Linked DNA regions of Solanum lycopersicum. The protein of the gene in region 1 binds, or shares a complex with, the protein of each later gene. Links are inferred from orthologs where the notes say so. Each region holds a gene or a part of one and is shown on either strand. Other genes may lie near its edges. The genes, in order: DNA-directed RNA polymerase II subunit RPB7 and DNA-directed RNA polymerase II subunit 4.

Region 1 (4,551 bases):
CCAAGACAAATTTTGTTGAGATTTGATCAATATGAAGATTATGTACTAGCTTTATCTCGCTCAGTTAATTATCTTATATAAAATGGAGAGGAGCACCAATATAGGGGTTTCTCTTGATCCATTGAATATAATCCTAAGAAGAAAACAACATTAAATGTGGTTTGAATTTCTTTACCAAACTTATCTCCAGATTTATTTGTAAAGAAGTCTCTACTATCTATAGCATCGGTAGTTGGAAAACCAATAGTTATAGATAAAGCTACTCAAATAAAATCAAGACCTAGCACAGCTAGAGTCAAGATTATACTTGATCTAATGGAAGAACTTCCAAATCGTATAAGATTGCAGTTTATGGATGGAAAATCTGAGATGTTGATCGAGATTTTTAAGGAGATTGTATATGATAATCTACCTTAGTATTGCAATTATTGTAAGCACCAAGATCATGATGAAGAAAGCTATCGTTGATCTCGAAAAGAAATCAAGATAACTAACAAATTGATGATACCATTGAAGTTGCTTCAAAAGGTACCATCGATAGTGAAAAGTATCAAAGTGATGCAAGATAAATACTAAATGAAAAAAGAAAGGTTGTAGATGTCGATCAAAGTAAAGCTATTTCTTTAGATTGATAATTGATTACTGTCACTTTTGAGTGAAACCGTGCACAATCAATGAATGTTGTTAGAAGTAATATTGGTATTCAAACAACTTTCAAAAGCAAAAAAGGAACGCCAAGAATTGGGGTTGATGCGCCGCGATTTGGTTCAGGTAAAAAATAATGTATTCAGGACACAAACTAATGGATACATCTGATATTGAAGATGCCGACAATTCTGGACAACATGTTTTGCAAGTTCAAATCAAGAATGCGACAAAAATTGGACAATGGTTGCACTCAAAAATTCAATTATTAATCATAGCCTTTTTCCGACTAGTCAAAATAATTTTCCATGTAGTGAAAAGGATGCGACTAGAAATTTTCATGACAGTGAGAAGATGCAAGATATTAATAATGCCTCAAGAGACCTATTATGCTCGAATAACTTTGATGCTTTATCGAAGACTATTGAAAAGCAAGTAAAGTTAGTAGAGAGTCATGACAACGATTTGATCCAAGAAAAAAGGTCTCACCACCTACTTTGAATAGTAAATTAAGTCCAGAAGCTTCCATATTTGTGCCTAAATGTGTGTTGCAAATAAGAATAAGTCAAGGGCCTTAGTGTCAAATACAGTTAATTTGAGCGAGGATTCATGAGGAAGATATGCTGGACATATGCTTTGATAGAGTGGTTAAGGAAGGATATATATCACCTAGACGACAAAGAAGTGGAAGCAACAAAAGCAAAAAGAAGACACATGTAAGAAAACACAATTGGGACAGTAAAATGACTGAGGAGTTTGTTCCAAGGCACCTACGGATGCGGCAGACAAAATAGAACCATTTGACAGTATCAATAGGTTCAGTAAAATCCGATAAATCCATAAAGAGAGTACGAATTATCAAGTGTTGTTGGATAGGTTTGAAAAAGAATACAAAAAAAAATACTTCAAGTTATTTTTGACGGACAATCAATCATTTTTAATTCATGCGTTTGTAACAGAAAGTTTGAAGCTGATATATATTTATATTATTTAAGCATACTCATTTGAAATATCATCATGAAGTATATTACAAGCTCTGCAGTGATTAGAAAACATTTAATCCTCTCTAGGTTTTATTTTCTTTATGCTTGTTAGATAGTAGACGTAAGGTCCTTCATTAGGATTACGAAAAAAAATACCTAATCTAAGAGCTAAATTAGGAAATAATTAGCTAAAAATTTTAGGAGATAAACTTTGGTCTATAAAATAGGTTTTTGGTCCAATTGTTGAGATACCCGGCGGCCCACTATATATAAATCTCTGTCCGTTGTTCATAAGCTTCACTTGTTCAACTTGGATCAACAAACGTAGCTTCTTCTTCTTCTTCCTCAATCATGTTTTTCCACATTGTATTGGAGAGAAACATGCAGCTTCATCCTCGTCACTTTGGTCGTGATCTTCGTGAAAAACTTGTGTCAAAACTGATGAAAGATGTAGAAGGAACTTGCAGGTTTAATTCATAAAACCCTAATTTTCGTTTTTTTTCACTGTTTCTTATTGATTTAATGTTGTTAAAATTTTGAATTTGGGTTTTTTTTGGTTCAGTGGTCGACATGGTTTTATAGTGGCGATTACTGGGATTGAAAGTGTTGGAAAAGGATTAATTCGTGATGGAACTGGTTTTGTTACTTTCCCAGTGAAGTATCAATGTGTTGTATTTCGACCCTTTAAAGGTGAGATTTTGGAAGCTGTTGTCACCATGGTTAACAAGGTAAGGTCTTTCCCCCCCCTTAATTTGCATTTCTGTTAGCTTCTGTGTGTTCGCTAGATTAAGCAATTACACAGAATTCAACTGAATTTCGCTTATCGAAATTGGTATCCAAACCTTTTTACAGTGGTTGGAGTTGGAATAGCAGCAATCTTCTGAAAAACTAACTTTAAATTTGCCTCCAACGAAAATTTACTTTCTCTTCTTTGTAGGAAATTTTGGTTTTAGAAAAAAAGGTTCTGATAAGAGACAGGTGGTTAATAATCCTGCTAATATGTACGAAAGGGGAGAATTTTGAGAATAAGAGAGATCGAGAAGGAAAGATATAGCAAGGAAGATTCAATGGGTTCGTGTAGAGAATGAATTGAGTAGTTGAATCCAACTAGTTTGAGATTGAGATTTAGAGGGATTGATAGGCATATATAATTTTTTTTTATGAGTGATTGATTGATAGGTTGATCTATAGATACTTTGACTTTATAATAGAAGTAACTGATGAACTGACGCATCAAAAAGGACTTTTCGAAGCGCGGAATCCCAGAATGGAATCATTGCAGAAGAAAGGTTAATCTAAGAGGACACATGGTTTCTAGGAAAATAAGAACTGCATTGCCTGCCACACATAGTATTTTCAAGACATAGAGCTGGTCTTTTTTCTTTTTTTTAAAGGATACCAGTATCTATTTGTATAATCCACAAAGAATCTGCTGCAACTGGTTCACTGTCTTGGTTACAATGCCAATAAATAGGCATGGGTGGTGGTCTTGATTTCAAGAAAAACGTGGCTAAAACTTGCTTTGCGATAGCTGAGTAGCTCGGCTGTGGTTCTGAGAGAACTGCAGAAATAAAACCAGACAATCTCCCATCAGGAACTATTTTGGGTACTTCATGATTGTGGAATATTGCATATGGAACTTTTGCATGGAAAGTTTTTTTCATTGCATTAATGTTAGTCTTGTTAAAACCTCTAATTTGGTTTAAAAGTTAAAATTGATTACTACAAGTTAGGAATAAAGTGGGCCTGAATGTATAGGAATGGATCTAGAAGATTCATATATATAGTCTGATTCCTTAGGTTTGAGTTGTAGTTGATTGATTGGTTAATGTTAGTTAGCTCTTCTCCATCTACCCTACCTAAAGATATTTATCCGTGTGGTATATTGCAGATGGGATTTTTTGCTGAAGCAGGGCCTGTGCAGATTTTTGTCTCAAATCACGTGAGTTTGTTCTCCATATTTAAATATTTAATCCAGCATGTGTTCGTTCCCACACATACACGACATTTTCTTAGTGTGGCATATTAAAAGCTCATTCTGCTATATGCAAGATTGCATGAATGAAATGTACTGATTAGAAATATATTAATGAAATGTCTTCTGCGTGCATATCTATTGTAAAAGCATGAAAATCAACTTCTTTTAGGAAGGTAGTTGTTGATTCTTAAGAGATTTTTTGTTCAATCTTCATATATGTTTCTACATTTTCTTTTTTGTGTTTATTTTTCCTTGATTTGGAAAATCCTTTGATGATGCAAACTCTTAATGTATTGGTTGGGACCGTAGGTTTCCATCACTACAACAAACCTTGATATATCAAACTTATTCTGTTTTCTAACGTGTTATAATTCCAATAAAAGAATGAAGAAGGAATCTAGAATTCAAAAATGGGTAGTCTCTCATATGATATTAGCTTTAGCTTGATTTGAATATCTAGTTTAAGATTATCTACATAACTGCTAAGTAGTCTACAGTGTGTTTGGGTGTGTATATATATACACACACACATATACATTTCTCGTGTGATTCTCAGCAACATCATTTGCACTTGTTAGATGTTCCACCAAGCTAATTTATCAATAAATAAAATAATTTTTTTTGTCAAGCTACATAAGTACTCTGCCAAATCTAAATAGTCCTTGATTGTTATGCTTAGGATCAAATTTTTCATGGAACTCAAGTTAGACCCTTTTATAATTAAACTGTATTGAGTTTGTCACCTTAAGTGAATTTCATTGGTTCCTAGATTATTTAAGAGGTGTATGCATGACTAGTCACTAGTGGTGGTAGGAATTCCGACGGAGGAAAAAGGATGTGGCCTAGTGGTTAACTAAGTGGATACAGACCTTTGAAACTAGGGTTCAAATCCACGCAGAGACAAAATCTGCAAAAAACAATGGAATGATTTCTTCTTATCTGCCT
Region 2 (4,412 bases), about 47 Mb from region 1:
GCACTTTATAGGAAATTCTATTTTTTCCACAAAAGCCTATAACTCTCATCTTTATAGCACAAGAGGAACAACAAAGGCCCTAAGGCAGCCATCTATGTACACAACTTGTCATCTTTTGGGCAAGTAATAAAAAGGTATTATGCATCATAGAGATAAGTGAAAAGAACAGTTTAGACTTGAGATATTTAATTAACAGGGAATCATTTGGATCACCATTCAAGAATGCATTGAAGATGGAACTCATGCTTGCAACCAGTCACCTGCAAATTTAATACATTATGTTACTCGATGATAGAGCCCATTCCATCCATAGTAACATATATGTGAACGATACGTACAGTAGAAGGATCACTATCACAAAATGCTTCAAGGCATATGCTGCAAGCATCATCGCAAGCATCCTGAATTCCACCTTCCACAAATGCCGCAGCCGAAGTTAAAATATCCTCAGACATCTTGCCCTCCTCCATCTGTCAAAAGATCAAACCTTAAAACATCACTGAAGTTTAATGAAGAAAGCAAAAAGCAAACAAGCATTACTTCTAATCACATGCCAATTTACAAAAACCAAACGAAGTCCCTCGAAACCAAATAATTACCTTACCTGCTCTCACTTTCACTGGCAATATGACTAATTAATTACAGGTGAGAATCAAATGCTACAGAGACAAAACAATGGCTCTCTGTTTCATTTTAATACGGTATGCATAGCCATAACTGTTTCACCGATTAGCTGGTCTCCGGTAAGAGCTTCACAATTGATTAATAAACATCCAACAGCAGCTCAAAGAATAACAAATAGGAGACTAAACCCCACTATCTCCATGTTCATTTAACAAAGCTTTGAATAACAATTCAATCCCAGCACTGAAAAAAGTTTAAATGAAACCCCCACCACAATTCTATTATAAAAAAAAAAACCATATAACAAATTCAAAAGTTTCACTAGATTATCCCTTCTTCTCAAACCACTCTACAGACAAATTTTTTTTTTTAAAAAAAATTGAAACCCACATCAGAATCGCGCAGATAAACAAAATCTGAACAGAAAAAATAGATTTTTTTTTTGAAAAAAAAGTAACCAACCAACCAGTACTCCAATTAGTAAAAGAAGCTCAATTTCAAACACCACAAGTAAAATTAATCAATTTTACAAAACCATACAAGTACTATAAACTTACCTTAAAGAAACTTCAATGAATATGGCAGATCAAAGAATAAGTTGATCAGGAGAATTTTGGGTTTTGAAAGGTAAACCACAGAAATGAAAATAGTGGAAGAACAAAGAGGAAGAAGAAGACTTTTAACTTTCCCTTTGATTATTTGTTCTTTATTATTTTTATTTATTTATTTATGCTTTCTTTCTTTCCTTTTTTTTTCTTCTTTCGAGGACTGAGCCCAAAATAACACTTTGGACAATATTTTAGTTGGTCAAAAAAAAAAAAATTGACATATCAAAAAAATTGTTATGTATTATTTTATTAGTATAATAAATTAATCATATTGATCATTATTTTTTAAAAAAACGATAAAATTCAAAGTAAATTTAAGTATGATAATTGCATCAAACATTTATTGCCATAATCTTATTGATCGTGTATGGTCCTTATTTAAGTCAAGTGAATTAATTTTTTTAGCATTATTACTTCTTTTTAAAAAGGAAAAATTATTTTTTATGGGGCATAATTATAATTATAATAAAATTCGAGGACATAAACCTAAATTCCGAATTCTCGAATTTTGCCTTTATATAGTAGTCTGGCTTCTTCAATTAGCAATTTTTTCTAGTACAAAGATGTCTGGGGAAGAAGAAGAAAACGCCGCTGAGCTCAAAATTGGCGATGGTAAATAAGTTTACTCTCTAATACACTTGATGAATCGGTTTCTTTGTTATATGAATTGCTTAACGTTCTGGAAATTGAGTTTTATACTTAAAAAAATCTTTTTTTTTCTTTAATGTACTCATAAAAATAGGTTTTTTCTTTCTTTTTTTAACCATGAAGGCAAGGGGGAGTCAAGTTTTTTCATCAAGATTTTGTTTTTTCCTATAATGGGTTGTGTAGTATTGGGTTTTTTTTTTTCTCAATTTGTTGGGATTGGTTCTAGGGTCTCTTTTTTAATAATGTAATGCAGGATAAGATAGTTAACTGGCTGATGCTACTATATGGTGCATATGGTTCTTCTTATTGATTTAATGTCTATGAGAATAGACTTGATATTACATTTTGATTTTTTCTGGATCAAGAAAAAGACTGTTTTTTGTTCATATGTAGTGATCATTAATAGACTTTAGTCACTTCAAACTGCCTAGCTTCACTGTATGGCTAACTTAACTATTTAGCATATGTATCGCGATGAGCATCTTTTTTTTTTTTTTTATCTTTGGTTAGTTACTTCAGAATTGTTTTCAGCTGTCCATATAAGTTTCTCGATGGATTGTTGAGGGCTTCGGGCAATAGAGGTTATTGCTGAGGCATGAAGTGGAGGGAGATTGGATTAGTGGTGTTGCATTCATCGTTCTCCTTGAGATATGAAATTTAGGAAGAATTTACAGATTGGTGTTCTATAGGTAGTCTGTCTATAATAAAACTCCCTATTTGAGAACATACAATTTCCTACCCAGACAATATTGGGTCTCCCTCCCTTGTCATCCCTCCAGCTTATCTCTATTACTCATGGTGAAAGCTTGTGCAAAGTCTCTAGTCTTTTAACTGTTTGTATGCATACAAACATCTTCTCTTGATGAAGTTCATTAACATCTTTTGGTACTTTGGTTTCAGAGTTTTTGAAGGCCAAATGTCTAATGAACTGTGAAGTCGCATTGATTCTTGAACACAAGTATGAGCAGATCCAGCAGATGTCTGATGATCCAACAAATCAGATTTCGCAGTATGTATATAAATCTAGATGCTCCTTTTATGTCATTAAATGCTCAGATATTAAGTACAAGCTGGATTACCTGTACAAAATAAGTTGTCTTCCTCCATATCAACTTTTCAATTCATGCCAACCACTTTGTGAAATTTCCATGTTCATATATAGGCAAAATGCTAAGAAATATTCTTAAGGAAAATTATGCCAAACTGATATGGTTCTACTCTTTCAACATCTAAATATGTTATTTTGAAGAGATAACCTGTGCATAGGCGTCACGTTCTCAAGTTTGGTTAATTTGGTTACCTTTGACTTCCAGGGTATTTGAAAAGTCGCTGCAATATGTGAAGCGTTTCAGTCGGTACAAGAACCCTGATGCTGTTAGACAAGCTCGAGAGTATCCTCCTGCCTGTGGCTTAGATTGAAAAACTTCTGTATTTCTTTTTGATATTTATGAATTTACAATGAATAGTCCTTTTATAGAATGTAAACCTTAACTTTGATTCAGAATTCTTAGTAGGTATCCACTTGCTGAATTCGAGGTAGGAATCTGTTCTTTGAATTTCCTAATTTGTTTCATACTTGTAACCACCATCAATATCTTCGTGGAAACTGCAGTTTATAAGTTTGAATATTTTGCAGCTCTGTGTTCTTGGGAATCTTTGCCCCGAAACTGTTGAGGAAGGTATTGCCATGGTCCCATCCATCAAGGTACTCATGCATGCTATTCAACCCTACATAAGAACGGATTGTATGCAGATATCTAGAGTTGTAGTTTTCTGGACTTCATAATTTCAAACAACACACCCAAAATGCTTCAAATAGGCATCCTAAACAATTTCTTTACTTGTTAGGGAGCTTTTCTTTGTCTTACTTGGTCCTTCTAGGGATTTGACATCCAGAGGTGGCTGGTTTGGAAAGTCTAATATTTTGCCAAAAAAGTCTTGGTACTTTGGAGGTGTATGAAATTGACCCTCATCTTTTCACCATGTTGTCTCATTTGTTTAAGGCATAACACCAATCTAATCAGAGTTGCTTGTACATCAGTGTGTGATTGTAATATCTCACCATAAGGCTAAAGGAAGTCTATAGAAAATGCACCGACAGTTTGAATCTTCAAAGTTTCCCTAAATGTACAGTCTAATCATCCAGCTATATATATTCCTGTTACTCTTTTTCATAAACTCCGGCTAACTGACACCCCTTCCATGCTTGCAGAATAGAGGACGTGCACTTGACGAGGAAGCAATTGAGAAAATGCTAACTGACCTTTCCCTAATAAAGAAATTCGAGTAGTCCTATTATAGTGCTTGTCTTGCTATGCTGCAGCAGTCTCTGCTTCCGAACCTGTACCTCCATATGTTTATTAGTAGCAGCTCTGTAATGCTAATTGGGCTCTGGCATTATGTTGAAAACTTTATCTGTTGATTGAAGAAGAAAACTCTCTCTGGACCCTTTTTTTTCTTTTTGGTAGCTGGTTGTAACCACAATCCTTTGGTGCACGGGCTAAATCATTGTAATGACATACCTGGTTTGTC

The links.
Region 2: DNA-directed RNA polymerase II subunit RPB7 (region 1) and DNA-directed RNA polymerase II subunit 4 share a complex: the UniProt entries of both Arabidopsis thaliana proteins name them as parts of the RNA polymerase II complex. The link is inferred for Solanum lycopersicum from reciprocal best matches to the Arabidopsis thaliana genes NRPB7 and NRPB4.

Annotation. Positions count from the first base shown.
Region 1 is NC_090805.1:845,036-849,586, reverse strand, and holds the start of DNA-directed RNA polymerase II subunit RPB7, read left to right. Parts: upstream 1-1,669; 5' UTR 1,670-1,979; coding exon 1,980-2,095; intron 2,096-2,190; coding exon 2,191-2,356; intron 2,357-3,519; coding exon 3,520-3,570; intron 3,571-4,551. UniProt on the Arabidopsis thaliana protein: DNA-dependent RNA polymerase catalyzes the transcription of DNA into RNA using the four ribonucleoside triphosphates as substrates. Component of RNA polymerase II which synthesizes mRNA precursors and many functional non-coding RNAs.
Region 2 is NC_090805.1:48,101,689-48,106,100, reverse strand, and holds the start of DNA-directed RNA polymerase II subunit 4, read left to right. Parts: upstream 1-1,579; 5' UTR 1,580-1,675; coding exon 1,676-1,844; intron 1,845-2,780; coding exon 2,781-2,889; intron 2,890-3,193; coding exon 3,194-3,271; intron 3,272-3,382; coding exon 3,383-3,416; intron 3,417-3,516; coding exon 3,517-3,585; intron 3,586-4,092; coding exon 4,093-4,170; 3' UTR 4,171-4,412. Other genes in the region: E3 ubiquitin-protein ligase RHF2A, read right to left, coding at 214-260, 339-470. UniProt on the Arabidopsis thaliana protein: DNA-dependent RNA polymerase catalyzes the transcription of DNA into RNA using the four ribonucleoside triphosphates as substrates. Second largest component of RNA polymerase II which synthesizes mRNA precursors and many functional non-coding RNAs.